Linked DNA regions of Mus musculus: regions 1, 2, 4, 5, 6 and 7 are each reported to be linked to region 3. The links are microRNA targets in miRTarBase. Many come from high-throughput screens and were not tested one by one. Region 3 holds a microRNA gene; each other region holds the end of a gene's coding sequence.

Region 1 (4,362 bases), not on the chromosome of region 3:
AGAGAGTGGAGCACAAGAAGTTCCATCTAACCAAGCCACTGATGGACACAAGTTTCCAAATGGCTCTACCTTGGGTCATCACCAGCAGCTTTGAGCCTGCTGAGATGGGCCTGCTGCACCAAAGCCTCCAGCTCCCCGCACTGGGGAAAGCAGGCCTTTAGAGTTAGTTAGGTCAGCAGGCAGTAGCATCACTAAACCCTTGCCTGCTTGTGTGTCACTGACGCATGCCTTTGCCTCTGGTGAGGTCACTTCTCTTCTCACCTGTAGCTTGTCTGAAAACCAGTCTTTGCTGAGGATGCCCCCCTGGGAGAATATCTGGCTCGTGGGCTCCATCTGCTTGTCCATGTCACTTCACTTCTTGATCCTCTACGTGGAACCTTTGCCGGTGAGTCATGATGGACCCCGGGCGGGGTCTGGGGTAGTTCCTTTCAGGCAGGGCCAGAAGCTTGACCCAGCCTTGTTTGTCTCAGCTCATTTTCCAGATCACACCGCTGAATCTGACCCAGTGGCTGATGGTGCTGAAAATCTCCTTGCCTGTGATCCTCATGGATGAGACGCTCAAGTTTGTGGCCCGAAACTACCTGGAACAACCCGGTAAAGAGTGTGTGCAGCCTGCCACCAAATCTTCCTGCTCCCTGTCGGCATGCACCGATGGCATTTCCTGGCCGTTTGTGCTGCTCATTATGCCCCTGGTGGTCTGGGTCTACAGCACAGACACTAACTTTAGCGATATGTTCTGGTCTTGACTGACAGCGCTACATACAGAAGATGTTTAACTTAATCAATTAATTTTTTATTGTTTAAAGCAACTGTCTATTTCTGCTGAATTTTCACATGAACATATTGGCTGGTGAAGGAGGTTTCATATCTAGATTTTGTTTTGCTTTTTCTGACTCCAGTGGGACAAGATTTTCCTTTTTTTATACACATAATTAAAGTGTCCATTGACGTGTACAGAGAACTAACACTATTTTATGCAGATATTTTTTTGTAGATGAAAAAGCATGTACAGTGTTCTGTTTAATACTCATACTTGTACAAAGATAGTTGAGCCAGCAGACATTGTCAGCAAATTAATTGGCAGCAGACTTAGGAAATGAATGTGTGTGGTTTTTAAAAGAAAAAAAACTAAATAGCATGTATTGTGTCTTTTGCATGATTCTCTGGATTTAATTTGGTATCACAGTCTAATTTTTATTCATAAGCCAATTTTTCTGCACTGAGCAGAGTCCTGCTACCTCAGTCAGTATTTTTGGTTTGCCACTTCCTGCACCCTCAGCCTCTGTCACCCCCAGCCCACCCCAGCCTGCTCGGCTTCTTCTGTAGGTCTGATGGTTCTGTTTACATCCGTCTTCACGAGAGGTTTGCCTGTCTCGCTTGTGCAGAAAACATTGCTCCAGATCCAATCGACTGGGTTTCTGTCCCTTCGCCTAGTTTTTAAGGTTATTTATTTAAATGTCTAATGTATTTTATTGTAACAGACATTGTTTTGCCAACATTGCCTATTCAATGGCACTTCACAATCTAGTTTAAAAGAAAAATAAAACATTTTAAATGGACAGAGAAAAATAACTGTCTTGTTCTTAATGGCCTTGAATTACGTATAATCAGTTCAAATTTCTGAGCTTCTCAGCTTAGAGCCTTAGTTTCCTGTTCTGAGAAGAGTCCTGTTCTGCCGCATAGTAGGATTTTATTTATAATGTATAGGCACGATCTGTCATGTGATATACATTACTCAAGTTTCTGCTGGCCCGTTGTATGTAGGTTGGTGTAAGGGCAAGTGTGTGTTTATGTGTGTGTATGTTTTGTAAAATCTGTAAATAGCACATGACCAAATGAACATATTGTATAGAAATATTTTTATTTGACTATGGCACTAACCACCACCACCATGACTGATGAACGTTTGCGCATGTTCAAGGTCAGTCTTAACGGCAGTGTGAGTCATTAACAGTCCTAACTGTGGTGTTTTCCTCCAATGCCTTCCAACATCCATCAACTAACGTGAGTATCTTCCCTGTGGGACTGGGGTGCTGTGGCCTGTGTACAGGTGGTGCCACTGATGAGCTGGCCCCTGTTGCTAGTGAGCTGCATGGCTCCTGTGTCCACCAGGCAGCCACTCACTACACAGGCTACCCTAGTGTAGACACTGACCAGGACAGCGATCCCTATGAGCTGTGGGAAGGAGAGCCTTGGGACCTGGCTGACTTCAGGCTGAAGGAGCTGTGTCACCTCTAGTACCAAACTGAGACTGGACACAAACCATGTCACAAGGCTATGGGTTTTCAGTGGCTGAGGAAGACTAGGAAAGCCAGCTGACTCCGCATAGGCAGCTTTTGTCACCCTTCAGGACATGTCTCAACCCTCTGGTGTGCAGAGGCCTGGAGACTGCGACCTCCTCCCTAAGTTGCAGGAGAAAGTGCCAGGTTCTGAGGGAACCTGGCACTGACCCTTCCTTGGGGAGGCCTCTGTGTGCTACAGGGAGCAGTGATTCTCAGGAAGCAGGCAGGTTTTGATGGAGTGGGCCAAACACAAAGGTACAGCTGAGTTAAAGACCAAATCAGAATGATAGCGTGCTGGGCCCTAACACCATGCTGTTCAGTGCCGTTTACGAATGAGTGGGCCCTAAAGGAAATGGACCTCATCCCTGAGTGCTGTGTTGCTTACTGGGACCTGTTCAACCCCAACAGATAGACTAACACTTGACCCATCCAGCCACAAGCAAGGCTGACAAAACCTTCCCCTGGCCCGCATAGACCAAGGCCAACAGCACAGTCCCAGCCACAGGCCACCTCCTGCATGTCCTCAGCCCTGCTCTCACCCAGCACCCTCAAGAAGGGACAGCATTTATTGTGTCAGCATCATGCTCAACCCACTAGGGCAGTCTAGCCTGGACCCCAGCCTTGAACTTTCCCGGAATGGCCTCTTCAGCAAAGCTGTCTAAAGGTTCCACCCTGCAGCCCACTCAGCAAAATTCAGGTGGTGGCCTCCCCGGAGAGCTAGCAGGGCTACTAAGGCTGGAGAAGGCTAGCCATCTCACAGCAGCTGCTATCACAGCACCCTCAAAATAGGGTCTCAGCCCCAACAATGGCACAGGCCTCAGGAACATCTAAGATGGCAGCATTGGCTCGGTGCCTGCAGAGCCGCAGAGCCAAAAAGCATGGTTGCCCTTTGTCGTGAGCTGCCAAACTCCATTAGGACTGACCCCTGCAATTGGGAAACCTTCAAAGCAGAGCTGAGCCTGTAGCCCAGGACTGGCTGCCATAGAGAACAGGGAGGGACAGGAAGGCCTCTCCCCTGGTGCCATGCCACTCACTGCTCCACCTGCCTCACCCTCTGCATGGCTCTCAGCCCTGTACCTGACATGCCTTCTAGTTTCTGCCTCCTGGAACTTTGGTAGGAGGCGGCCCAGGGCAGTCACCAAGCCACTGCTTCTAGATGTGCCTGGGCAGCAAGCACTTGGAACACTCCGTCAGAAATGCTGGTTTTGCATCTAGACCAAATGCAGTGTTCTTTCTGTCTGTCCCTGTTGTTGTGTCTTAACATTGCTCTACGTTTCGAAAAGCTGATTTCCTCTCTCTTTCCTTTTCAGCAATACTGGAGTAACCGCTTCCTAAACCATTTGCAGAAATATAAGGGTGTTCGGGTGCGTGCATGTGCGTTGTTAGCAACACATCTACCAGCCCTCTGCATGACTGAGGTTGGGGAAAAGAAAAATAGAAACAGTCCCCAACTCACTGTGTGATGTGGAGGAAATGTGTATTACCAGTGGGGTTTTAGCTGTTCAATCAAAATAATAACAAATGTACAATTTAGCATAACAAATCAGAGAGCCTCTCCAGAGAAGTTGGTTTCTTTGCTGCGAGAAGGAGGTTCTGAAACCTTATCCAAGAACAGAAGCCATCAGCCAAGTCTCCACATTTCTCTGCAAAATGTCATAGCCTCTCTAACTGTATGATAATTGTAATGCATGCCTTCAGTTGTAAGTGGCCAGATTGCTCTACAGTGACATTGAAACATGCTTTCTAATGGGCCCTGTACAGTTTGCTTATTTATAAATTCATTTAAAACACTACAGCTGCTGAATGGTTACAACATAGGCCTCCAGTCCTAACTTCAGTTGTTTAGGTGTGCAGCCAGCTGTTCCACACTGTATTATTGTAACTTATTTAATGAAGTCAGAAGCAGTAGACAGATGTTGGTGCAATACAAGTATTGTGTGCATTTATCGTAATAAAGTGCTCAGCGTCAGTTCAGTTGCTCACAGCTTCTCACAGCGCATGTTTGACTGTAGTCTGTAAATAGAGGTCAGTTTCTGTGCTGGTAACAGGTATTGCACAGACATGATTTCAGGTAAATAAA
Region 2 (4,362 bases), not on the chromosome of region 3:
GGGAATTGAATTCAGGACCTCTGGAAGAGCAGTCAGTTTTCTTAACCACTAAACCATCTCTCCAGTCTTGCTTTTGTTGTTTGAACTCCTCCATTTCCTACAACAGTGGTAGTCGCCTCTTCCCACATCTAATCTGAGACTCAAATGCTGTGTGACCTGGAATGAGCTGTTTAACCTTTCTGAGAGTCTCTATTCATCTATAGAGGGGATTTAGAAGTGTACCAAAAGTTTAGAGACAGTATGTCTGGTGCCCAGTAGACACTCAATGGGAGCTTATAGCTAGTGTTATTAATCTGGTAGCATTAAAGGGCAGGAACCCCCTGGGTTTGAATTCAGGGAGGGCCTGCCATGGTGCAGTCCCCTAACTGTGGCTTGCGTGTCATTACAGATCAAGTCCTGCTACTACTTGCCTTGTTTTGTGACCTCCAAGAATGAGTGTCTCTGGACCGACATGCTCTCCAATTTTGGGTACCCTGGCTATCAGTCCAAACACTACGCCTGCATCCGGCAGAAGGGTGGCTACTGCAGCTGGTACCGAGGATGGGCTCCCCCAGACAAGAGCATCAGCAACGCCACAGACCCCTGAACCCAGACCTTCCCCACCTCACCTCCTTCCCATCCCGCCGAGCGTCCCAGACACTAACTCTTCCCAGATGATGACAATGAAATTAGTGCCTGTTTTCTTGCAAATTTAGCACTGGGGACACTTAAAGTCTCTGCTGTCTATGGAGTTGATTTGGAAATACCTTCCTGGCCCCGCCCCTACCCCTTCTTTTTGGTTTTGACATCACCCATTTCCAACTGGGGATCTCTGGTGCCAAGCCAGAAAGAACGAGGCATGTATACACCTCTTCTTCATGATATATAATCTATATTTTTTTAGGAAAACAGAAATTGAAAAATTTATCCCATTGGGGCATTTAAAGCTACTCTTCTTTCTTCTTCCTCTCTTGACCACATCCTAGACCCAGTTCCATATACACTTCTTCATCCCAATACACAGGAAACATGGATAAGGAAGTTGGCAGAAGTCCAACTGTTTCCCAATCAGTCAAAGGCAGCAAGCAGACAGACGCCAGGTATTTGAAAGGTCTTCTACACAGAGGATATACAACTGTATGTCTGGGTCAGACAGTCTGTCTATGTGTGCATGTCAGAGGGAGAGAAGAGACAGACTGTAGGAGTGGGTCTCACAGTTATCCAGCCCTGTGATACTTGGGTTGACCCCATGTTTCAGATCCTGGAACAAGCATCCAAGAGTAACAGAACTTTCTGAGCTGGCAAAGGCTTAAACATCTGCCTGGGTTCAGCAGGCAACCTGCCCGTCTGTACAAAAAACTCAAAGGGCTGAGATGAACGTCTTTCCTCTCCTGCCTCCCATGAGACAGTCTCCTAGGAATTCTTGGGGAAGTTTGGCTGGAAGCTTGCCAACTGTAAGTTGGAGAAACACACACCTGACACTATCCACAGATATAGTCAAGTAGATTTGGATAGAGAATACTATTTCCAAAGTAGTGTTTAGCTCATCTAGGGGGATGTGTTTATATATACATTTGCATATACCCACGGGGGATTATGAGCTAATTTTTTTTATAGGACACAGAATTCTATTCAATGCTGTTAAATATGCAAATAGTTTAATCTTTTTTTCTTTTGTTGTTTGATGGGAAATTGTGACATTCCAAGTTGACTTTTTTTTATTATCTGAATTAAAATTTGAAACTCTGACCACACTCAGTACCCTACTGTCCCTATAACTGGGGTTATCTGACCATCCATCTCCCTTCTTTGTTCTGCTTTCTGTTCGGGGTGCCCTTCACTTAATTGCCTTACTGGCTGGCTGACGGCAGGGGAGTGTGAGTGTTAGGTTAGGGCCTTCTCATGAAAGGGGCAGTTGCACAGTGGAATGACTCCTCTCCTGGATCTGGGGACAGCATACACTTCTTCCCCAGCTCAGTAATGGGTGAAGTCACTTCCGGAGGTGGTCACCTCATAGAATGAACATGATTGGTTACTGAGGGAGCCAGGCTCTGCCGTCCAAATGTAGGCCTTTTGTTGTGTTGTATTTTTGTTTTTAAATAAAAGTACAGTATAAATTTTCCTATTAAATAAGATTATTTTAAGTTTTAGTGTCAACATTGCAATGCCAATAGTAGGTGAGAGTGTATTGCACAGAGTTGGAGATAGTAAGGTGGTGACATTTAACACAGTTACTCTGTCTTTTTTCAGATTATGGGTATTTATCCTCTATTAGTATCATATCGTTTTCATTCCACTTTAGAAACACAGTTACCAGTTGAGAGAGAGAGAGAGAGAGAGAGAGAGAGAGAGAGAGAGAGAGAGAGAGAACAAGTTCTAGTCTGTCCCCACCCCACACATACCACTGCTTTGTCCAGGTGTTTGATAGAAGAGCAGGGCAGGAAGACAGTTCAGGAGATGGGTGTCAAGTTTTCTCTTGGTTGATTTCATTCCCTTGCATCTTTCCCCTGTGCTGACAGGGGGCAGAAGGCACAACCATTTCCATGGTGTGCCGAGAGAAGGAGCTGAGGTCAGCAAGCCAGTGGTTCTTAAGAGCTGAACCTCTGGCTTTACTGTTGGAAGTTGTCTATTTCAACCTCAGAGTTTCCTAATATGGCGCTCCTGATCTATCTTACTCAAGTGCCCTCCCATATGTATACCCCAACATCTTTTCCATCTTAATCCAGCATCGGGCCATTCTCAATCCCTGGTAATCACCTCCCTTTTACATGGACAGACTTGAGGTGAGGCCTAAGTATGAGGCACCTGAAGATAAAACCAATGGGCAGAACCAATGGCCCCAGTCGGCTTTTGAGGTCTTGGTGAGAAGTACTGGCCACGAAAGGGTCTTGTGTAAAGTTACATCATCGGAGAGCGGTTTTTGAGCTTTCAATAAGCTATAGCTTTGTTTATTTCACCTGTTCACTTACTGTATAATTTAAAATCATTTATGTAGCTGAGACACTTTGATACTTCAATTATATCGTGAATGTTTTATTTTGCTAAATCATGTGCCATGTGTAGGCTGTTGTGTGTACACTGTGTCTAAGAGAAGAAGAAAAGAAAAAAAAAAGAAAGAAACCCACATGCCATTTTTTTTTTCTGATTCAAATTCTACAGTAGAATGGAGGGCAGAATTACTGGGACACAATCACCACTCAGCTAGAATGGAGATTCAAGGAAATGGAAGGTACTAGAAACAGACTCCTCCAGCCTCCTCCCCATAGAATCCTAAGGGTGGGAAGAAGAAGAAGAAAAAAAGCAAAAGCAAAACAAAACAGAAATCAAAAGTACACTCAAGTTCTTGTCCTGTATCAAATATCCCTAGGTCATCTGCCACCCACTTTCCAAGACCTTTCTCCTACTCAACCAGGAAGTCATGGTTTCTGCAGTCCAGAGCCATGGCAACTGAGATTCTAAGCTCTCTTTGTCTCATCCAGGCAACTTTTCTGTCTCCCAACCAAGGAATTCCTCTGCTCAGGCTCCTGTTGCCCAGGATAGCTCTCTTCTATAGCCAGGATGTGGAGCTTAAGGAGACTCCAATGTTTACTTTCTCCAGTCCTAGCTCTGCCATATAAACACTGTCTCATGTTGTGCTTCTTAAACGACAAAGAACATAGTGACTTTTGGGGATAGATCTGTCTGGGAGATAATGTGAGTCCAGGAGGCATTACTCTTCCCTGCCTCACATCAAGGTGCCATTCAGGTAGTTGGCTCCCAGCTACTTAACGATAAAAATATCACTTTCGTATTTGTATCAGAGAAACTTAAAAAAAAAATAAAGTCTGATGGTAGAAATCCAATGAAATGGGAGAAGGCAGGAGAGAGAGGTCTCAGTAGATCTAAGTCGGCTGTTTGGGTTGAGGAGGAGAGAACCCGAGGAAATGACCATGCTCTGGGGACAGGGGTACCTTAGATTCTCTGTCTATTTTTCCTCTAGCAAGCCAGCTGTGCTGAAGCCCAGTAGAGATGAAGAGACACCAGCCAGAGAAAACCCCCTCTAGAAGGAATGTATTTGTTGCTAAATTTTGTAGCACTGTTTACAGTTTTCCTCCATGTTATTTATGAATTTTATATTCCGTGAATGTATATTGTCTTGTAATGTTGCATAGTGTTCACTTTTTATAGCTGTCCTTTATTCTAAACAGTAAAGTGGTTTTATTTCTATCACATACCTGCTGTCTCTTGCCTTCTTGTGTCCTGGCTTGGGAGGTTATAATTGATATCAGAGAGGATCTTGCAAGCAGATTCTGCCTGTCTTCCCTATAACCTCGGCACACAATCTCCTTCCACCCTTGGCTATAGCTTGGCCCATTTCAATTATGCCCGTTTTTGCAACAGATT
Region 3 (4,362 bases):
TGTCAGTGATGTGATGTTTAATCTAATTTCTTACTAAACACCAATCACTTTCAATCTCCTAAGAACTTCATGATAGTATTCTCCGTAATTTTATTCTAAGAATTTGAGAAATTTGGACTTATATTTTCTACAGAGAATTTTAGAAGGTTCTGGAAACCCCTCACATTGCGGTGCTTTGCTATTAATTGTGATTCGGATGGAAATTGCTTGATCGTAGTTCCAATTTTGTATATTGAGATAAGGCAATGATCATGGCTTAGAGTCTCAGCTCAGCAGCCTTGAAAAAATGATATCAAAAGCAATGACAGGTATGTATAGAAGCAATGGGATGCTGGCCTGAATATGATAGTGCAGTGGTCAAGCAAGGGAACATGAGCAACATGCATTCTGGTGAAACTGATAACACAGATGGTCCCAGGAAGACTTGCTTTCCTTCCACAAGAGACAGCCCTCTGCAGGAAAGCTATCTCAAAGGAAGCCACACAGGACTATTCAGATTCATCAGTTTTATGTCTTGTAACTATCTGAAGTCTGAATGCATGCCATCAGCAGATCGTTACCTTATCTACCTCAAAATACCAGCCAGAGACACTTGTCCTGTAATCTCTTCGTGTACAAGATAATAAATGATTACAGGTTTAGCATACAATATTCTAAGTAAATAAAATGAATATGTATAAAAATTTGGACTGAATGGTTCACCAATATTTTATTAATAGTTACACACACACACACACACACACACACACACACACACACACACACACACATATATATATATATATATATATATATATATATATATATATATATATACTTATTAAAGCCACTTAAGAGTCTACATAAGTATAATGTAGTAACTTTCTACCCTAGTTTTGAGGAGTACAAAGGGATTTTTGTTTAAGTTGATATTTGAAATCAGTTTTGAAGACATGCTCAATAGAGTTCATACTAACTTGTAAATGCACTTCATTTCAAGAACACCTAGGAAATGGATAGAAGTTACTGCCAGATCCACTCAATCAAAACAAATAACAATATTAGGATATAATAACCAAAGTGAGAGGAGTTGAATTTCAGGCAGTAGGCATAGGTTGTATTAATTTTCATTGTAGTTTAAAGTCTTGTGTCATAAGCAAAGAAAGATGTGCTAAATTGGTTTGATTCCTTGATTGTTTTAAAAATAAGTATGTTTAAAAGAAATTATACTAATTAAAATGCCTATTGTAAAATAAATGCTTATTCCATGCACATTGTAAACATAGAAGTTCAAAATTGTTAGCAATGTAACTTGAGAAAACCTAAGTGGTTTCTGCTTGATTCTGCATGACCTACATGCGTCCTTGCAGTTCTTATTATATACATACCAATATTTAAATTATGAGATACTTAGATACTATTTGTTTTGCTTTTTGATAGTTCCAATTTTGTTGAATGATAAATTCTCCCTGTCTTTAACAGCCTGTAACTAAGCTCCCCCCAAAAGGACTTTTCTTCCCTTTTGAAAAAAAAAAATCCGATTCTTTTCTTTGACACAGCACAAAGTGGAGGTTTGCCAAGCTCTGGGCTGGAGGAATCCTGCTTCTTTTCTTCTGTACTCTTTTGAAATGGTTTAAAATGTGTGACAGGTTTGGTTAAAGGATTGGGCTTTCCTCTGCCTCCCTCCTGCTCCAGACTCCCACAGATACTGTTTAAATCAGCACATCTCTGCCTCACAGGTTGCTTCAGTGAACATTCAACGCTGTCGGTGAGTTTGGAATTCAAATAAAAACCATCGACCGTTGATTGTACCCTATAGCTAACCATCATCTACTCCATGGCCCTCTGCGTTTGCTGAAGACAGAACCGCAAAGCAGGACCCGACAGGATTCTCCCCGCCTCTTCAGAGACTATGTTTACAAAGGTCACAATCAACATTCATTGCTGTCGGTGGGTTGAACTGTGTAGAAAAGCTCACTGAACAATGAATGCAACTGTGGCCCCGCTTTTTGCTGTCGCAATCAACAGACGTTCCCTCCCTAATAGAGGTCCTGGGGGTATTAACGCCGTTTCTCGGTTTAACTTCTGCTGTCTGAACTTTCAGGTTTGTTTATTCAATTCATATCAAGTCCTATTTCTGTGAGGAAGTCACTAATTTATATAAGAATACTGCTTTTCTATACTCCTGGGGGTTACAAATGGGGCATTTCTTAAAAATGCTAAAGTGTTGGATGCCCAGAATCAACTGTGTAGCCCTGGGTTGGCACGGCTTCCTGCTCTGCTGTGCTGGTGGGAGGAAGAACCAAAGAAATATCTTACTTCCTGCCCCGTTATCCGTCACATTGTTACACAGAAAATAACCATCCCCTCATCTTTCATTAGATTTCTTGGTCAAAATGGGCTTGAAGCAAGAGGGAATTCTTTTGCTCTGCATAAAGAATCGCTGAAATGGCTCTACTCTCTATGGAATTGGTAGGCAGAGGGATAGTACCTCAATAGCCAAGTACTTTGTTATCCAGGGGCTCATTATAATCATGCAATAGATTTGTTTCCCCAGAGAGACCTCAGATTTAAGATTATAGTTCATCATCTTTATTTACCCTCTACTTTCTTCTGAAATGGTAGACTTGATTCCAGGGACTGTCTTCAAGCAAGTGTGTGTGTGTGTGTGTGTGTGTGTGTGTGTGTGTGTGTGTGTGTGTGTTTCCTAACTAGTTTGGCTCTATAATTTCAAAAAGAACATCTGTCATTAAGGTTCATCACCTCCAATAGTAAGTACAGTGGTTGGAGTTAATATTTATAACAGGATGTTCAGCATACAGTGTGTACATGGTACCTAGTACATGGTACCTAATAGATTTTAATTCGTTGGGAAAAAATCTATCAAACATATTGTCCTTTCTCTCTCTTGATCAGTTTATTATGATATACATTCAACTCCCACTACAGAAATCCATTCCTGGGACCTTGCTCTAGTGTTCAGAATATTCATTCCCACAGTATTTTACGTAGTTAGTTCACAAGTGCCTGCCTTGCTTGGGGCATCTCTATCTATCATAACTCCTTTCTCCCACCGTCTGTTTCGTTCCATTTAACGTATGACAAGGCTCTAATCTCAACAAAAAACAAGAAGTTCAAAAAAAAGTTTCTATTCCTGCTTCATTCACTGAACAGCCCCCTTCTTTTTTCTATCTTAAAAAGCTATGAGTTTGGAAACGTCACTTAATTAGTAACCTGCAGAAGAGTCTCTATTTGTGTGTTCTCTCATTACTTCTCTTCAGCCCACAATTTGACATCTTGAAACATTGCTCTCTCCCAATTGTGCAGATTTTTTTTTAATGGAAGCTGGTCTTGGTGAAACCAAATCACCAGTATTATTCCACCCCTGGTAGCAAACTTCCTACTCTTCTTCCATAAAATCATTCCCTTTAAGTTCCATATTTAAGTGGATCCTGCGGCACTGGCCTCTATTTCATTGATTATAAATTCATCCAGGTATATATTTGTTGATAAACTTTTCTAAGCCTGGATAGTATTTCATTTCATATGTGTATTTGTGTGTGTATGTGTGTGTGTGTGTATTCGTATATATGCTAAGGTAATGGAGATATGTAGATATATAGGTATATGTGTGTGTATACATATATGTGTATATATATATGTGTGTGTGTGTGTGTGTATACCTATGAAAACATCCATAATGTCAGAATATTTTCTCTACTCATTCATTGATTGAAGGACACTTTGTTACCAAAGCTTGGCTATTATCAATAATGTTGAAATGAAGAGAGTACAAATACCTCTTTGATATACATATCTCAGTACACACACACACACACACACACACACACAGAGGATGTAGGGATGTGAGGACATATAATTTAGGGATACTATTTTCATTTTTTGGAAGACATGTCATCCGGTTTTCCCAAATAGTTGCACTAATTTACATCTAGCGTTCACAGTGGTTTCCTGTGTCTTTATTCCTTTCCATTACCCTCTTAGCTCTTGTCACTTGCTACCATGTATTTGATAATGTCCATTCTAACAGGGGGTAGGCATAAAATGATTATGATTTCAATGTGCATTTACCTGATGGGGTGACAAAATTTTTCCACATATTTGCACTTTAAATTTTTAGTACATTATTTATTATTATTTATGTTTCTTTAAAACAGTCTGAGTGTTTGATGTGAATGATATAAAAGTCAATTTGTAAAAAAAAATTCTTAAGATTGTACTGTTCATGTATATAGGCTTGAATTCAAAGCATAATAAAATATTAAATTTTAATTACTCATTTGAGTTTGACTTTTTATGAGCTACACGAACTATTATCACATGAATTCACTATGTAATGGTGAGTTTTTAGAAATTTATGAA
Region 4 (4,362 bases), not on the chromosome of region 3:
ATTTCCTCCGTAGGTATTACCAAAGCATTTATGCTAACCCTTTAGAGCGAGGCTCCATATACCTGGTTACGTCCCGCTATTCCAGTTCATTCCCCGTGAGGACATACATACCCTGTACATGTAGTGGGAGCAGATGTGCAACAGCTGCATGGACCAGGGGTGCTTATTGCCTCAAATTTTGTCAAGTTTAGGAAACTCGGGGGCTTATTTGGTTACAGAGACTAAAGTTTCATCAAAATCTTACACATCATTTAAACACCAGCAAACAGTCATAACAACTTTCTAATTGTGTGTTTCTGGATAGTCAAAGTGACTCCCTACCACCCTGTGTCCAGCAAGGGAGGTTTATGGCGGGAGAAGACACACTATCGTTAACCTATAAAACCTAACTGCTTGTCCTTAGTGCCCAAGGGAAAGCTGAACGCTTACTTTCTCAGTGCTACGTATCATGAATGTGTGACGGGTTCTATACACTCAACGAAGATCAATTGGACAGTAACAGTAGCCTAGAACAAAAAAAGCCACTTATTGTAATAATCCTTCTCAGTTTACCAGAAACCATTCTGACCAAATGAGACAAAATTCCATTTAGACCTTGTCTATTTATATCTTAGTAGCAGCACTCCACCCCCAACCCCCAATTCGCTTACCACAAAGAAATACAGTGAACACACACAGGTACCCAGGTGTAGAATGTAGTGTTTCTTGCAGTGCCCACAGCAGGTGCTTTAGTAGCCAATGGTGGAACAGGTCTAAATTAAATTACCCTTTCATTCCAGTTCATACCAATATTTGTGTGTTAAGAAAAAAAAATTTGTGTTATTTCTTATTGAGCTATCAAGCCTGACATGATATTTTATATGTGCAGCTGATTCATTTACGAATTAATTTCTCAGTTCACAAATATCTCAACATTGTACAAAATGAGAACTCATTTGGTAAATTCATTTTCAAAATAAGAGTTGCAACGTGGAGGTGTGGCTCAGTTGCAGAGCCCTGATTCCATCTCCAGCACCACAAAACAAAGAACCAACCAACCAACCAAAAACAGCCCATGGCAGCCTCTTTAAAAAATGTTTTCTGGCCGGGCAGTGGTGGCACACGCCATTAATCCCAGCACTTGGGAGTCAGAGGCAGGTGGATTTCTGCATTCGAGGCCAACCTGGTCTACAGAGTGAGTTCCAAGACAGCCAGGGCTACATTGAGAAACCCCGTCTTGGAAAACAAAAAACAAAAACAAAATTTCTACTTTTACATTTTTAATTTCTACAATTAATTTACTCATTTTTTTTTAAAAAAAGCTTTCTTTTAAGTAGCCCAGAAACAGAAACAGTCCTGCAGGCAGACTATTAAAGCACAACGATGTCTCCTTTCCAGAGTATAAGCTGTACAAGGGCAGAGATGCCTTTCTCTTCTAAGCATCCCTCTGGTCCCAGTGCCTAGATGCATTCCTGGCCCCTGGTCGGAAGCCTGGAGGGAGAAACACTGACATTCATACTGAGGGTTGGGCTGCAGGCTCTGCCCGACTGTAGGGCTCTTGCTGAATATCTCTGAGGCCGTGAGTACCATCCCCAGCACCAAGAAAAAAAAATTACAACCAAAATATCAAAGACTTATTTCATGATATTCAGAAGCAGTCTTACCTTATCGTTCTAAAATTGGTATTAAATTTTATGTCTAGTAAAGACAGGCTTGTGTATTTTAAAACCCCACAGAACTAAAATAATAATAAGCTAAATACCAATGTAAATCTTCTGAAAATAAAGTTTTTCCACCCAGATGTTGATTTGGGCATAATGAATTAAATAGACCACTGGAAGTAGCCAGATTTCCCTTCTAAATTTTTTTAAAAAATTTATGTCAAGAACATTTGAATTTTAAGATAATAAGCCATAAACATCATCATTTGTATCTAAGGGAAGATGTCTTTTACAGTAGATATCTAAGGTGCTTTCGGTGAATGACATCACAGCGTCATCATCAAACATGCAAAGCACAACATTCCTATTTGGTAGAACTGAGTAGAAAATCAGTGGAAAGAGAACACATCTTAGTTTACAGTATCCATGACAGGTAATGTTTCTCAAATGCATTTATACCTAAATGAAAGGTAACTCAAACTCAATGTTATAAAGACTTCTTTCTTTCTTTCTCTCTTTCTCTTTCTTTCTTTCTTTCTTTCTTTCTTTCTTTCTTTCTTTCTTTCTTTCTTTCTTCCTCCCCTTCTTCCTTTTTTTCTTCCTTTCTTTCTTTTTTTTCTTGAACACAAAGAAGGTAATTTGACTGGAAGCCAGACATCACCATCATGCCAGGAAATGGCAGCACAGAAAGCTGCTGTGGGGCTCACTCTCCAGGGACGGCTTCAGACTGCAACAGGCAGGGAATGTACTGAAGGATGGCTGGACAATGCTTCTGTCTTTCAGAGTGCTGCCTATTCCCGCACACCAAGGACTCAGCTATATATTTATATATATATATATATGTATAATACATTCTATCTTACCCTAACCATGTATACTTGCCCCCTTAATGCCTCTACTACTCATTAGACAATGATAAATAACCACAACATGCCCTTACCTGTAATGCTCAACAGAACTTTGGTAACACTTGCTCTCTAAGGGGAAATCATGAATCAATCACATGCCTTTGGTTGACACCATCCATCCTCCAAAGGGCTGCTTATGGCTCTCTGTCCTAGGACACTGGCGTCTGACTACATGTGCTGACGTTTTGCAGGAGGTAAAGCTTTCGCTTTCGTGATGTGGAAGAGGAAAGACACATGAACGCATGGCACATGAATGTGACTTCTCTTGATTCCATTCCAGTGTGTTGATCTGAAGCTAGTAACCAAAGAGTCCCCTTGCTTTTGCTACGTGCCTTCCAAAGCATCGGGAATTTCAGGTTTTCCTGAAAATATATTTCATTTTCTGATGCAAGGTGAGCAGAAATGAGAAGGTGAAGAGAACACATGGAAACGATCTTTGATCAAACCCAGGAAATTTGGGGAATTTGCATTGATTCTGATGGGCTCAACTCAGGGCCTGAGTTGAACTGAAAGGATCTTGCAAGACAGCCTTGGATTTTTCTAAGGTAATTTATATGTGGTTGTTGATAAGCAAAAACATGTCACCAGAATAATAACACCTACTGTAAAAGTGAGGTTAGAAGGTCCCTTGGGTCTTGTGATCGAAGTTAAATAAAATAGGCAACTACAAGTTTTGTTCTTGGAAGCTCTATGCAAAGGCTATCATTCATTCACCAGTCAACAGATACGCTAATTCTTTTTAACGTCTGATTTGCAAAATTAGTTTAACTACAGAAATCCCTGTCCTATGAGCCATAGTTCATGGGTGTAAAACTTCGCAGTTTGTATAGATTCAGTAGAAGAAGATTCTTTTTAAATCCTAAAAGTGAATTACGGAAATTGGATAGACAGTTTTTAAAGAAATGGTTACATTCAGAAATAACCTTGGGAAGTTCACCGAAGATTCTTCCTAGTATGAAAAGTCCTATCGTAGTCTGGTCCCACCTTGAGAACTCCATTCCAGTTTCTAGTGCAAGACCTCAGTACAGAGCTGTCCACTGTTACTGTAAGTACCGGTAGACCTTGAAACAGTGGTTTCCGGAGTCTGCAACCACAACATGGCCATCTGAAGTGAGAGCCAGGCCCTGGGGGCCATAGAGCGGGTCAGCAGATGTGTTGATATAGGACAAAAATGATCCACTCCCATCAAAAACCTGCATAGACATAAGACCAGAGCATCAGGGAAGTTACATATGCAGAAGGACATGCATTTAAAATAAGGAACGCATGTCAGGATCCTTCTGAGCTTGCTCAGGCTGCTGCTGTGCACACAGAGTATTGATGGTTAACCTTGGTTGTTGATCTAGTTGGTTCTAGAAACAATGATGAGATGGGTTCTAGAAACATCCATAAGTATGTCTCCTAAAAACATGACCTGGAGGGGAAAGAGGTGACTCTCCCTCGGTGTGGGCAGAACCTCCTTGTTGTGGCCCAGGCCTAAGGAGATCTGGGAGAGAAGTTGCTGCTTTTGGCCTACTGCTTTCTGTCCCGGCTGGTGGGTGCATCTGCCTTGTTGGTGCATCTGCCACCACTGCTATCCTCATTTGCTGACACTGGAACCCAGCTTCTGTAACCTTCCAGGACAGGCTGAAGACCTGAGGTTCTCTCGAAATCCTCTAGGGCAGTGATTCTCAACCCCTTTGGCAAACCCCTATCTTCAAAAGTATATTACAAGCAGTTACAATAGCAAAGCTACAGTTGTGAAATGGCAACAATAATAATTTTATAGCTGGGGTCACTGCAACATGAGGAACCGTCTTAAAGGGTCCCAGCAT
Region 5 (4,300 bases), not on the chromosome of region 3:
GAGCTCCCACAAAGCCAAGGGCAATGAGAAGCTCTGCTTCTCTCTGGCGCGCCCGCTCCGCAGCGGGAGCCCCATGGGGGTGGTCAAGGCAGGGGTCGCTGAGCTGGTGGAGAAGGGCCCCTTGGTGCCCACCCTGCCATTCCCGCTCCGCAAGGCGCGCAAAGCCCACAAGTACCTGCGGCTCTCACGCAAGAAGTTCCCGCCACGCGGGCCCCACCTGGAGAGTCACAGCCATCGACGGGAGCTCTCCCTGCAGGAGTCAGCAGCCCCAGACGTTGTGCAGACCCCCGGAGACTGGGAGCCTATGGAGCAAGCCCCCGAGGAGGAGGGTAAGTCAGCCATCCTGAGACCTCAAAGCCGGGAAGGTCCCTGACCCCTGTCCAGGGGGCCTGGAAACCCAACAGTGGAGCAGGCAGGACTGACTGGACCTGGCCCCTGCCCATTCTGCTATAGCTAGCTAGGCAGGTGCACATGCGCCCTCCTAAAGCATCCTGCTTCAAGCGTGTGGGGGGATGGGCAGCGTGCTACCATTCACGACTTCTGACTGCCCACTCGGTGCCGAGTGGTGCCTGTACCTCACCCGTGTCTTTGTTCCATGGCTGCAGCAGAAGCAGACCTGACCAATGGGCCGCCTCCCTGGACACCCACGCTCCCCTCAAGTGAAGTTACCGTGACTGACATCACCGCCAACTCCGTCACCGTCACCTTCCGCGAGGCTCAAGCCGCCGAGGGCTTCTTCCGAGACCGCAACGAGAAGCTGTGAATAGCGGCTTCCCCTCTTAAAACTGTGCTTCTTGGGGCTTGGGTGAGGATTTCCAGAGACAGGAGGGGCTGGGAGCAGGGTAAATATTTTTATTTTTTAAAAAAGTAGAAGCACGGGGAAGACCCCAGCACCCGCCCTTGCTCCCCGACGGTTGTTTACAAAGAGGCCTCAGAAACAGGGGGGGAAGGCCAGTGTTGTCTGGGTCTCATCTCCTGGGCAGATGGGGACAGGCTACCCTGCCCAGTACGCCTCTGTCATTATCTTTCAGAGGCTGATCCGTGGAGCCGGAGGAGCCCAGGAGGTCCAGACCTTGCCTCAGGCAGTCACCCCAGCTTTCTGGTGGTGTCCCTTCCCTGTCCCTTGCCGTGGGTCTTTACTATGAACTTTCCACTCCAGCCTTGTGGTGGGACACAGAGGCCGGCCTTGGCCACCGGGGACAGGATCAGGACAACCGGCACGGGCTGGACCAGGGAAGAGGCTGCCCACCAAGCCTCCTCCGAGTGTGCTGTCTCCCTGCCATTGGCCTGTGTAGAGATGCCCATGAACACATCCGGACACCCCAACATGCACACCTTTAGAAAACTGACCAGTTGAACATGACACCATTCACAGCACAAACAGAACTTGCCGCGGCACCCTTGCTCCGCCTTGCACGTAGGTCATGTGACAGGATCTGTCGGCTGTCATCTCCGAGCCGCCAATTGGACCAGGCTTTGGTGTGCAAGGTGCAGATGCTTCCACACAGGCTCACAGCCACCTGGCCCACCCTTCCTCCCACAGGAGTTCACATTCTTTCTGACTCAGGTGACTTTCCAGCCCCGCCCCCCAATTTCTCTGCCCTCTCCTGCCAATCAGCCGATCTGGGCACCCATGGGTGCCAGTGGTATGTGGGCAGTCAGGGAGGGAGTGTCCCACCACTTTCTCAGGGCAGTCCTTGTCTTCTTTGTCCCCCTCCCCACCCAACCTGAATGGCATGGCTAAGGATGGATGACCCCTCCCACCTTGTGGGGGTTGAACATGAATCAGGTTGCACACAAGTGTGTGGTCCTGATTTGGCAAGGGGGGGGGTGCGGTTTGCTGGTTTGCACAGGTGCCCTATAGGCTGACAGCTTCCTACCTGAGGACGGCTCCCTCCCTTGTCGAGAGCACATTGCTCACACACCCGCTGCTACCATACGAACCTATATGGCTGGGTCCTAGCAGCTACCAATTCTGCTGTGTCTTTAGGAGGCCAGCAGAGTCAGTATGAACAAGGGCAGGATGACTTCTAAACACTACCCTGCCCCGTGTCTGTCTGCGACTCTATCCTCTTCCTTCTCTAGTCCCTGGTCTCCCCCTCCTTTAGTCTTAATGGTCCAGGGTTAACTCAGTGCTTCCGTTGGTGGCCGTCATCTGTGGGTGACCTGAATCTAGAGGATGTCTGGGTGGGCCAGAGAGAGGAGAGACAGGAACCTCAGCCAGTAGGCTACAGGAACCTGGAGGTGGGGAGACCTTGGTGTTCTTGAAGCCCCAGCTCCCAGAGAGGTGAGGGTGGCTGGAGCTTTTCTTTGCTGCTGGGTTTGATGGCCCACCATATTGGGGGACAGAATCCCTTCGGTGTCATGCTTCCCATCCCTAGGGGCATGGGACTAAATGCCTGTACAATTTGAATTTTGATCATGAGACCCCAGGGGGGGCTTTCCAAGCAGCTGCCTTCTGTCTTTTGCAGTAGGCGGTGACCTTTTATCTCACGGGGCCCTTTATGAAACCCACCAGTCCCTGGAGATTGTGGACTAGGCTGGATATCCCTCAGGGTAGCCATGTAGCTCTGAACTGCTGGAAACTGGCCGCCTAGGGAGAATGGCAGAAGGCTTCGAGTGGCTATACACAGGCTTCTCCTAGCCTGAAGCTACCCAAGTGGACAGTAACACGCCCCCTCTCCACCCACATACACTAACCCCATACAGGGCCAGTACTCCATGAGCCAGCAGTGGCGACCACCTGCCTATCTCTTAACCCCTCCCCCTGCATATTTGAATGTAGAGGTTGGGTTGAACTTCCCCCTCCCTGGGTTGGGGTGAAGATGTGCCTCAACCTCTGGTGTGGACACTTGTGCAGTGCCACAGTTGAGCCCATTTGGCCCACGTGGTTCTCATCTGGTAAGATGGTGATCTTATTGCCAAGTTCCTTCCACCTCCTGCCTACCGAGGAAGTAGCTCGGTGTCAGCGAGGTGGTATCGATTTTGCTTTATAAATGGCGGGCCAGACCTGGCCACCAGGTCTTTGCGCAAGACCGCTTCCTTTGCACACAGAATGAGCTACGAGCTTTGTTCAGACGACCTGAATGTATTGGGAGGAATTGGGCATAGGCCTTCCCCCGGGGGGAGTGCGATGGGAAGAGTAAGCAGGTGTAGGCTGCAGTTTTATTTTTGTACTGATATTGGTAAAAGACTGTATAGCATCTATTTATTTAGATGATTTATCTGATAGATGAGGCAAAAATTATTAAAAAATACATTAAAATGTCTTTAGAGACTTCTGTGTGTCTGGTTGTTTGTTTTGATGGTGTGATAACTGTGTGATACCCCACCCTTACCCTCAAACCGTAGCCCAGGACTCCGTGCCTCCCAACTATAGTCCATGGTATGGGACTATAGACATCCAGTCTTCTGAACCCAATTAAAATCAGCTGAGGAGAGAAATGAGCCTAGCGTGTCAGGGCTGGGCCTGTGGCCGTGAACCTTGCGGTTCCTCTATATCTTCTAAGAGTAGCTGGTTCTAGAAGACTGGGTGTCAGCAGCTTGAGTGTTCAGTCTCAGGCTGGAGAACCAGGTCAGTCATGAGGCTGACGCGCACTTACATGGACTCTGCACACCTGACAAGCTCGACACAGGCAGTGCAGAAAGCATGCACTGCTTAGTTCTCTCGATGGCCTGCCCTGCGCGGCTGTACAGGCAGGACTTGACACCTGCAGAGGAACCTTGGGTATGTCCGTCCACAGCCAAGATGAGAGGTGATGTCAGGAGAGCCTCTGGAGGTATGGTGTCCACTGCTCTACTGAGCTCAACTCCACAGAGGGCCCACAATCTCCAAGACTCTGCAAAGAGGTGGCCCATGACAATAACAAAGGAGACAAGCTTCTTGGTAGGATGGCCATTGGTCCTCGGAGCTGGTGCTGGCCCCAAGGTTGCAGTGGACAGTATTCATCTCTCTCCTTCAGTCCCCACAGCTGGCATTTCCACAGGTCAGTGCATTCATCAGAGGGGTCCAGAGCCCTTTTATCTTACCAGGCCATGCCTCTGATACTGTCTGTCTTAGTCTCCACCGGGAATAGGAATGGCGAGGCTACTCAGCTCCAGCTTCTGGCAAGCTCCTCTCTCCTGGATTGGAGGCAGTAAACCTCGGGGTCAGTAGCAGCCTTGCAGCGATGAGATACTATGTTAGCGTTGTTTCTTCCATTGGCCCACTGGTTGTGGGAGGCAAGTACCCAGCTTCAGCGGCAGGGTTTTGAGGCGCCCCCTGCACTGCTCGCCTGGCAGCAAGGATGTCTCTGTTCTA
Region 6 (4,362 bases), not on the chromosome of region 3:
CACACATACATACACTCACACACACACACACACACCTGGAGCCTCTTAGTTATTTGTTTGTATTATGCATTATTTTATACAATGATTACTTCAAGGCACTTACAACCCAGTTTTCTTTTCTGCTTTACCCAGGACAGAGCTTCCACTTAGACGCTTGCCTCTTGCCTCCTCTTCGCTCAGTCTTCATAACTCTTTCCTTTTGCTAACCTCCCCTCAGGTGGGGTTCCTTCCAGGGCAGAATTCGCCCCTTCTTTTTTTCCTGGTCCTCAAGCAATTTACTTTCCTCTGGAGCCACCCACTTCGTTTAGACACTTTCCTTTCCAGAGATCAAATTTAAAGCCCTTCACTCCGTTTATATCATCTCTCTTTCTCCACAGCCCTTGTACGAAGTCGATGACTTGCGAGATGCATTTCGTATGTTGGGATTTTGAAAGCAACCTCCTGGAATGTCACACGTGATGAAATTTCTCTGAAGAGACTGGATAGAAAAACAACCCTTCAACTACATGTTTTTCTTCTTAAGTACTCACTTTTATAAGTGTAGGGGGAAATTATATGACTTTTTAAAAAATACTTGAGCTGCACAGGACCGCCAGAGCAATGATGTAACTGAGCTTGCTGTGCAACATCGCCATCTACTGGGGAACAGCAGAACTTCCAGACTTTGGGTCGTGAATGATGCTCTTTTTTTTCAACAGCATGGAAAAGCATATGGAGACGACCACACAGTTTGTTACACCCACCCTGTGTTCCTTGATTCATTTGAATTCTCAGGGGTATCAGTGACGGATTCTTCTATTCTTTCCCTCTAAGGCTCACTTTCAGGGGTCCTTTTCTGACAAGGTCACGGGGCTGTCCTACAGTCTCTGTCTGAGCAATCACAAGCCATTCTCTCAAAAGCATTAATACTCAGGCACATGCTGTATGTTTTCACTGTCCGTCGTGTTTTTCACATTTGTATGTGAAAGGGCTTGGGGTGGGATTTGAAGAATGCACGATCGCCTCTGGGTGATTTCAATAAAGGATCTTAAAATGCAGATGAGGACTACGAAGAAATCACTCTGAAAATGAGTTCACGCCTCAAGAAGCAAATCCCCTGGAAACACAGACTCTTTTTCATTTTTAATGTCATTAGTTTACTCACAGTCTTATCAAGAAGAAGAGTTCAAGGGTTCAACCCAATTTTCAGATCGCGTCCCTTAAACATCAGTAATTCTGTTAAAGGGATCAAACATCCTTATTTCTTAACTAACTGGTGCCTTGCTGTAGAGAAAGGAGCAAAGCGCCCAGATCCAAAGTATATAGTTATCATAGCCAGGAACCGCTACTCGTTTTCCATTACAAATGGCAAATTCTTCCCCGGGCTCTCCTCATAGTGCCTGAGACGGACCACGGAGGTGATGAACCTCCGGATTCTCTGGCCCAACACGGTGGAAGCTCTGCAAGGGCGCAGAGACAGAATGCGGCAGAAATTGCCCCCGAGTCCCAACTCTCCTTTCCTTGCGACCTTGGGAACAAGACTTAAAGGAGCCTGTGACTTAGAAACTTCTAGTAATGGGTACCTGGGAGTCGTTTGAGTATGGGGCAGTGATTTATTCTCTGTGATGGATGCCAACACGGTTAAACAGAATTTTTAGTTTTTATATGTGTGTGATGCTGCTCCCCCAAATTGTTAACTGTGTAAGAGGGTGGCAAAATAGGGAAAGTGGCATTCACCTATAGTTCCAGCATTCAGGAAGCTGAGGCAGGAGGATTGTAAATTTGAGGCCAGTCTGAGCTGTAAGGTGAGACCCTATTTCAAACAACACAGCCAGAATTGGGTTCTGGTAAATCATACTTAACAAGGGAAAAATGCAAGACGCAAGACCGTGGCAAGGAAATGACGCTTTGCCCAACGAAATGTAGGAAACCAACATAGACTCCCAGTTTGTCCCTCTTTATGTCTGGTCTCCCTAACAACGATCTTTGCTAATGAGAAAAATATTAGAAAAAAATATCCCTGTGCAATTATCACCCAGTCGCCATTATAATGCAATTAAAAGGCCCACAAGAAATCCTGTATACACGACCGTTATTTATTGTATGTAAGTTGCTGAGGAAGAGGAGAAAAAAATAAAGATCATCCATTCCTTCCTGCATCTATCCCTGTTTTTTATGTTGCTGCGTGGCATCTATTCTGAAATATTAAAGTGGGTGCCTGAAGTTTCATAAATTTGAAACTTTAGAGATTACTATATATCTGCACTCGTCATTGTGATCATCCAAAATCGTAATGATTATGGCTCGGCAGCTGTGCTCTTGATTTTTAGCAACTCCCACCCCCACCCCCACCCCCACCCCCACCCCCAACCCCCACCCTGCGTGCAGCAAGTTCATCCTGGCTTATTTTAAATCAACTGAATTCGAGATTAAAATGTGAAAGTTTTGGAGATGAACTACTGAATAAAATGATGTCGGGAAAAAGCATTTATATATTAAAGTCATACAGATCACAGGGAAGGTGGCGCATGTATTTAACCCCCAGCATTGGAAAGATGGAGGCAGGAGGCTCTCTGTGGGTTTGAGGTCAGCCTGATCTAGACAGAGTGCTCCGCAGATAGCCACACAGAGAGAGCCTGCCTTAGAGAAATAAATACCTGATGAAATAGAATTGAATTGAGAGTCCAGAAATTAACCCACTCAGCTATGACCAACTGATTTCAGATAAAGGTCCAAGGTGTACTGAGTCAGCAAACCCTGCTGGGGCAATCTGACATCAGGTGCAAAGAGTGCAGTCCACATGGTGACACCTGCCTGTCCCCTACTCGGGAGGCTGAGACAAGAAGATCAGTAGTAGTTGCAGTAAATCTCCACCCAAATATGCCCTGGCAATGAAAACACAACTCAATTAATATGAATACATGCTGTGCGCCTAGATTGGGCAGATCTACCGCTGCACTACCATCTTCTCCATCTATGAGACCCTTTAGAACTTGCGGTTTCTAAGGTTTGGGGGTATAATTAGCCCCAGGGCTATCCACAACACTGTCCTAGGCGCATTTCCTAAACACGAGCTTATTCATAAGCCCAGCCAGAGGGTTCACATTGCCCACAACACACCCTCCTTTCCTACCACATAACCAAAGCCCAAACTCTAGAACTGGTTCTAACTGGGAATTCTCATGGCATCCCATAGCATATACCCCCTTCTCTGCAGTGAGCAATATGTCCAGTATTTCCTGGAAACCATTGGTACACAAAACTCTGAGTCACCAACACCCGCTGCTCTGTCTACTGAACTGGCTTCCAATGTTAACTAATTCATTTGAGTGTGTGTATTAGTGTGAGTGTGTGTTAGTTACTTTTGCTGTTGTTGTGATTAAAACACCATGACCAAGGGCAACCTAAGGAAGAGAGCGTGTGTATCTTGGCTTATGCCACTGAGAACGAAGCCATCACTGTGGGGTGGAGGCATGGCTTCAAGTGTCAGGCATGACGTGAGGAGCAGGAAGCTGGGAGATCACATCTTTAACAGCGAGTGCCAAGCAGAGAGGGAAACTGGAAGTTAAAGCCCACAAGTGATGTGCTCCCTCAGCCAGGCTGCACTTCCTGAACACCCCAAAACAGCGCCACCTACCTAGAACCGACTTTGAATATCTGAGCCTATGGGGACATTTGTCATTCTAACCACTGTTGTGCACTGTTGTTGCACAGTGAGCCATCTTGCCAGCTCATATTCCACAATTTGTATTTCATTTTACCAATGCTCTCTCTGTAGTAGTGATAATGATGACTGTTCCCTTTTTTGGTTTTGCTTCGTTTTGAGATTTCAGTATTTTTCTCAAGTTTTATTTTAAGTGATGTTAATTACAGCGTTTGAAGGGGAGGAGCTAATTCCACTCAAAATGGAAGACTCTATAATGTACCCATTAAACTGCTAAAAAAAAAATAATAATAATAATGGTAAGTCTACAAGAGGAGTCAGTTTAGACCCCTAGTGTTGTCAGAGTGTGACCACAATCACCTGCCCAGATCAGAGCCAGAGAACCCGGAAGCTATTTCATACTCTGGTGCAATGGGGGGGGGGGGGGGGGGAGAAATTTTAAAAAAACAAAAAGGAGGAAGAAAAACACACACACAACACAAGGAAGAATTAAGTCCTGATTGACTGACTCCATCTTGCCCACCCTCTCCACCCTAAAATGGCACAAAAGAAAATACCACACCTAAAGACTACTTTTGGTGTAAAACAGGTAACTGATGGGCTAGGATGGGAACAGGGTATGATGATCTGTCTAAAAAAATGTTCCTTTCACGAAGGTGTGTACGTACTTCTGAGCAGATAGGATCGGGACACCAGGGTTCAATGCTTGGGAAGTCACA
Region 7 (4,328 bases), not on the chromosome of region 3:
CATGAGCACACTATTGCTGTTTTCAGACACAACAGAAGAGGCATCGGATCCCCATTTACAGATGGTTGTGAGCCACCATGTGGTTGCTGGGAATTGAACTCAGGACCTCTGGAAGAGCAGTCAGTGCTCTTAACCACTGAGCCATCTCTCCAGCCCAGGCCTTGAATTTCTTGACAACTTTGCCTGCATACTCCAAGTGCTGGGATTACTAGCATAAACAAGCTCGATCATGTACAATAGCTGCTTAATAGTGTAGTAAAAAATATTTAATTTATGAGCTGGGAGATGGTTCCAGTGGGATAAAGGGCTTGCTGCCCACACATGAGGGTCTGAGTTTGGATATCCAGTAAAAGCTAGGTGTGAGAGGCTGGAATAGTGGCTCAGAATTTAGAGGACTCATGGTTGGTTCCTAGCACCCATACTGGATAGCTCACAACTGCTTGAAACTCCAACACCAGAGGATGTAACACTTCTGACCTCACACACACACACAATACAAAATAGAAGTATTTGGGCTCCAGATTCAGTGAGACTCTGTGAAAAAAATAATGTGACTGGGGACAGGGATTTGATTCACTTGGTTGAATGGCTGCCCTGGTCCCCAGCAGCATGTGAAACTGGGCACACAAATGTTACCTCATTTACATATACTACCTGTAATATTTCATTTTGTTACAATCATCAAGAATCAGTCTCATCCCCACTGTAGGGATGAAGAAGTCCCTACTCGGGAGACAGTGACATCTTAGCTAGGATAGGGCTATTTGTATTTGTTTGCTTCTTAAGCCCATGCATCCCTGATCTCCCTGGCCCCCCTAGCTAGGAATAGAACCCAGGGTTTCAAACATGTTAGGCGCTACCACTGAGCCACACTGCCAACCTCATGATCAGCTCCTGACTGTGGTTCCTATGCCCTTCTCAGAGCATAGTTTATTCTCATACCCACCCCTCAGATCAAAACATCTTTGTACTAAGCCATATGGCCTCATCCATGCACCAGAGCTAATATGTCACAGACGTTGAAGAGCCTTAGTGGTTATGGTACTAACTAGCCTATAGCAGACAAGAAAGCATTCTCCCTCCAAGAGTCCACTTGTTAAAGAGTCCTAGCCCTGCTGATCTGTTAAGTTCAGCCAATTCCAGGGTTCTTTGAAGGCTGCGATGGGATAGAAGGAGTCTCTCAGGTTCCTGGCCTTCCACAGGAAGGAAAAAGCAACTACTTTCCCTGGGGAGTGTTCCTTGATTACCTCCAGAGCAAGTGACCTGTCAAAGGTGCCAGCGTCATATCCCCAAGGGTTATGGTGTTCCGCTTGTGTAACAGCATTACCAGTTAATCTATTGCTCCCTTGGTGACACTTTGCCAGGTCACCTTCAGTCCTCTTGCTTTAGCCTGAAACTGCCAGGCTGTCTCAGGATTTACCACCACTGGTCCGTAACTCTGAGGGAGTTACGTTAGGTAAAACGACTAAGAGGGCGTCTGTCTCTGGTTGATATCTAGAGGCTATGTTAGGAATGACTACTGCTCCCTGAACAGAAACAGCCCTCAAGACAACTACTGAAACTGCCGTGTAGGGATAATCTCTTATGTGCTGTGTGGAAGCATCACCTGTCAATAAAGAGTTGATGGCCTATTAGCAAAAGGTGGGAAGTAATAGGTAGAAGATCCAGGAGAAAGGAATTCTGGGAGTTAGGCTGAGGAAGATGGACATGTGAAACTGAGGAAAAGAAACCAGTTATGTAGATGAACTCAGGTTCAAATAAACTGGATAGGTTAAGAGTTAGTTGGGGGAAGCAGCCTAGCTTATGGCCTAGGCATTTTTTAATAAATGTAAGCATCAGAGGGGTTATTTGGAAACTGGGGTGTTAGGGTTATACTACCAGGCCCCATATACAACAAAGCCGAGAAATGCAGAGTCAATGTCAAGTGGACCTGGGTTGGAAATAGAGGCTTGCTGCAGGTCATTCAACATAGTCTTGATGAGTCAGCACAGTGATAAGGAGAGGTTCTAGAATTTGAATGGTAGCTTTCCTAACCAGCTATACAACCTCAGCAGGATGCCCCACCCTCAAAGTTCTCTCCTCTTGGTTTCTTCCTTTTAAAAAAAAAATTTAGGATTTATTATTTATTTTATTTACATGAGTACACTGTAGCTACCTTCAGCCACAACAGAAGAGGGCATCAGATCCCATTACAGATGGTTGTGAGCCACCATGTGGTTTCTGGGAATTGAACTCAGGACCTCTGAAGAGCAGCAGTCAGTGCTCGTAATCACTGAGCTATCTCTCTGGACCACCTCTTGGTTTCTTATAAAAAAATTAAAAAATGACTTGTTCCAGACACGAAAGCTGGCTTAATGATTAAGAGCTCATACTGGGGCTGCAGAGATGGCTCAGTGTTAAGAGCACAGGCTGCTTTTCTAGAGGACCTGGGTTTACTTCCCAGTCCCCCCACATGGCCCTCAGAACTGTCACTCCAGTTCCAGGAGATATGACACCCTCAGAGACATATATGCAGGGAAAATACCAATGTACATGAAATAGAAATTTAAATAATTCTCAAAAAAAGAAAAAGAGCGCAAAGTGTTCTTACAGATGTGGGTTCTGCTTACAGATGTCGGTAACACATCTCCCTGTCACTCCAATTCCAGATCTGATGGCCTTCTGGCCTGAGTGCCTGCACGGACATACAATCCCTCCTGCCAGTTTGCATACACAAACATGGATGCATGTATGTTTTTTATGTGTGTGGAGGGGGGAGTGGCAGTAGACTAGTCATTATCTTCCCTGGGCTATCAGTGTCATTTTAGCCAAATGAGGGCGAAGGGAGGTCTTGGCACAGGCCACAGAAAAAGAAGCTTCACACCGCCAAGGAATTTATTAGTCCACACCCTCAAAAAGCATTTTCAGGCTCAAGCAAAGATTACAGATTGTTGCCGGGCAGTGGTGGTGCACGCCTTTAATCCCAGCACTTGGGAGGCAGAGGCAGGAGGATTTCTAAGTTCGAGGTCAGCCTAGTCTACAGAGTGAGTTCCAGGACAGCCAGGGCTATACAGAGAAACCCTGTCTCAAACAAACAAAACCAAAAAGCCTTTACACCACAGAGCCATCTTGACTGCTTGACACCTCTATCTTTAATCTGCTTCTCCATAGTACTTTAAATTGTGGGGCATGAATAAAAACAGGACTGAGGGCGAGTGGGAGCAATGGCTGTGTGACACCTTTAAACTCACGCTGACTCCCCTTCCCCGCTCAGGGTTTTGCACAAACTCTCCTAAGCACAGGTCTCTCCCGTGTAAAGCAGGCTTAATTTAAGCTAATGCTTAGCAGGACTGCGGTTCACCACTCAGCACAGCGCTTGTTCTGCACAGCGCTTGTTCTAAGTTAAGCTCCTCAACAATGTTACCTGCTACAAACAATAGGGGGCGCATGCCTTTAACCCCAGCTTCACAGCTAATCTGGTCTATAGTAAGTCCCAGGCCAGCCAGAGCCACACAGCATGGCCCTAAGGACTCAACAAAATAAAACGCTCCCCGCCCCCGCCCCGCCCCCGCCCCCAACGAAATGGCACCTGTCAGTATGCTAAACTTGAAAGTGACAAAGCACCAACATCATTACCCAGGCTATTTCATATCCTCCTGGGAGACGGTGGGACCCTTCCACACTCTGCCTTATCACCAAGGCTGACCCAAGTGTCACTTCTCACCATTCCAAAGACGCCGCCTACCCCCGGGGTAGAAAGACAGGCACAGGCACATGGTTTAGAGAAACGTTGTTGTTGTTGTTGTTGTTGTTTAATGGTAAAGCTCAGTAGACTCCAGCACCAGGACTGGCATGGAGTCAAAGCAGCAGGGACGGCTGGGTGACCCCAGGGAGCCTCACATGGCGAAGAGGATGAGGAAGGCGACCATCAAACAGAAGAGTCCCATGGCCTCAGACAGGGCAAACCCCAGAATGGCATAGGAGAAGAGCTGCTGCTTGAGAGATGGGTTCCTGCCAGAGACAGAAAAGGGTGAGGGTCCAGGTCAGGGGAGGGGAGTGTGCTACTATTTCAAAAGGGGCTAGCCTACATCTACCCTGGGAACTTGGGCAGGAAAGGGGCTAGCCTACAGCTACCCTGGGAACTTGGGCAGGAAAGGAGACTAGCAACTCGGCAAGTTCACATGTGGCATGCTTCAATTCTGACTTAGGTCACTGGAGAGACAGGAGGTTAAAGAACATCAACTTGGAGACTCCCACTTGCTAAGACTCTGCCCCAAGTGGAGTGGAGCAACAACACAGGCAGCCCCGAACTTACCTGGCATAGCCAATAATCAAGCTACCAAACACTG

The links. Region 3 holds the annotated microRNA mmu-miR-181b-5p (AACAUUCAUUGCUGUCGGUGGGUU, at 1,913-1,936, shown strand). A microRNA usually pairs through its seed, bases 2 to 8, with sites in the 3' UTR of a target mRNA and lowers its output. Matches are read on the target gene's strand: a 7mer-m8 pairs with bases 2 to 8, a 7mer-A1 pairs with bases 2 to 7 and ends in A, and an 8mer does both.
Region 1: the mRNA of Atp2a2 is a reported target of mmu-miR-181b-5p. Seed matches in the 3' UTR shown: 7mer-m8 at 1,098-1,104.
Region 2: the mRNA of Timp3 is a reported target of mmu-miR-181b-5p. Seed matches in the 3' UTR shown: 7mer-m8 at 3,005-3,011, 7mer-A1 at 4,026-4,032 and 8mer at 4,100-4,107.
Region 4: miRTarBase lists Trim2 as a target of mmu-miR-181b-5p. Seed matches in the 3' UTR shown: 8mer at 3,456-3,463, 7mer-A1 at 2,489-2,495 and 7mer-m8 at 1,489-1,495.
Region 5: the mRNA of Cbx7 is a reported target of mmu-miR-181b-5p. Seed matches in the 3' UTR shown: 8mer at 2,777-2,784 and 8mer at 3,084-3,091.
Region 6: miRTarBase lists Aicda as a target of mmu-miR-181b-5p. The part of its 3' UTR that is shown has no 7-base or 8-base seed match.
Region 7: the mRNA of Atp5g1 is a reported target of mmu-miR-181b-5p. The part of its 3' UTR that is shown has no 7-base or 8-base seed match.

Annotation. Positions count from the first base shown.
Region 1 is chr5:122,453,535-122,457,896 of GRCm38, reverse strand. It overlaps Atp2a2 (ATPase, Ca++ transporting, cardiac muscle, slow twitch 2), which reads left to right. Exons shown (of 20, transcript NM_001110140.3): 19 at 268-385; 20 at 471-1,573. The coding sequence ends at 746. Among named protein-coding and RNA genes, the nearest start is that of Anapc7, 33 kb to the right of the region's middle.
Region 2 is chr10:86,345,317-86,349,678 of GRCm38, forward strand. It overlaps Timp3 (tissue inhibitor of metalloproteinase 3), which reads left to right. Exons shown (of 5, transcript NM_011595.2): 5 at 389-4,189. The coding sequence ends at 586. All of the region lies in intron 6 of Syn3 (synapsin III), which reads right to left. Among named protein-coding and RNA genes, the nearest start is that of Timp3, 47 kb to the left of the region's middle.
Region 3 is chr1:137,964,738-137,969,099 of GRCm38, forward strand. It overlaps Mir181b-1 (microRNA 181b-1), which reads left to right and starts at 1,902; the gene lies at 1,902-1,981. It overlaps Mir181a-1 (microRNA 181a-1), which reads left to right and starts at 1,718; the gene lies at 1,718-1,804.
Region 4 is chr3:84,161,509-84,165,870 of GRCm38, forward strand. It overlaps Trim2 (tripartite motif-containing 2), which reads right to left. Exons shown (of 12, transcript NM_001271727.1): 12 at 1-3,741. The coding sequence ends at 3,589. Among named protein-coding and RNA genes, the nearest start is that of Mnd1, 7.9 kb to the left of the region's middle.
Region 5 is chr15:79,914,782-79,919,081 of GRCm38, reverse strand. It overlaps Cbx7 (chromobox 7), which reads left to right. Exons shown (of 7, transcript NM_144811.3): 5 at 257-329; 6 at 606-805; 7 at 1,032-3,275. The coding sequence ends at 763. It also overlaps a transcript of Apobec3 not described here. Among named protein-coding and RNA genes, the nearest start is that of Cbx7, 16 kb to the left of the region's middle.
Region 6 is chr6:122,562,043-122,566,404 of GRCm38, forward strand. It overlaps Aicda (activation-induced cytidine deaminase), which reads left to right. Exons shown (of 5, transcript NM_009645.2): 5 at 378-2,138. The coding sequence ends at 431. Among named protein-coding and RNA genes, the nearest start is that of Aicda, 10 kb to the left of the region's middle.
Region 7 is chr11:96,069,229-96,073,556 of GRCm38, forward strand. Atp5g1 (ATP synthase, H+ transporting, mitochondrial F0 complex, subunit C1 (subunit 9)) reads right to left here. Exons shown (of 5, transcript NM_001161419.1): 4 at 4,295-4,328; 5 at 3,565-3,990. The coding sequence ends at 3,876. Among named protein-coding and RNA genes, the nearest start is that of Atp5g1, 4.2 kb to the right of the region's middle.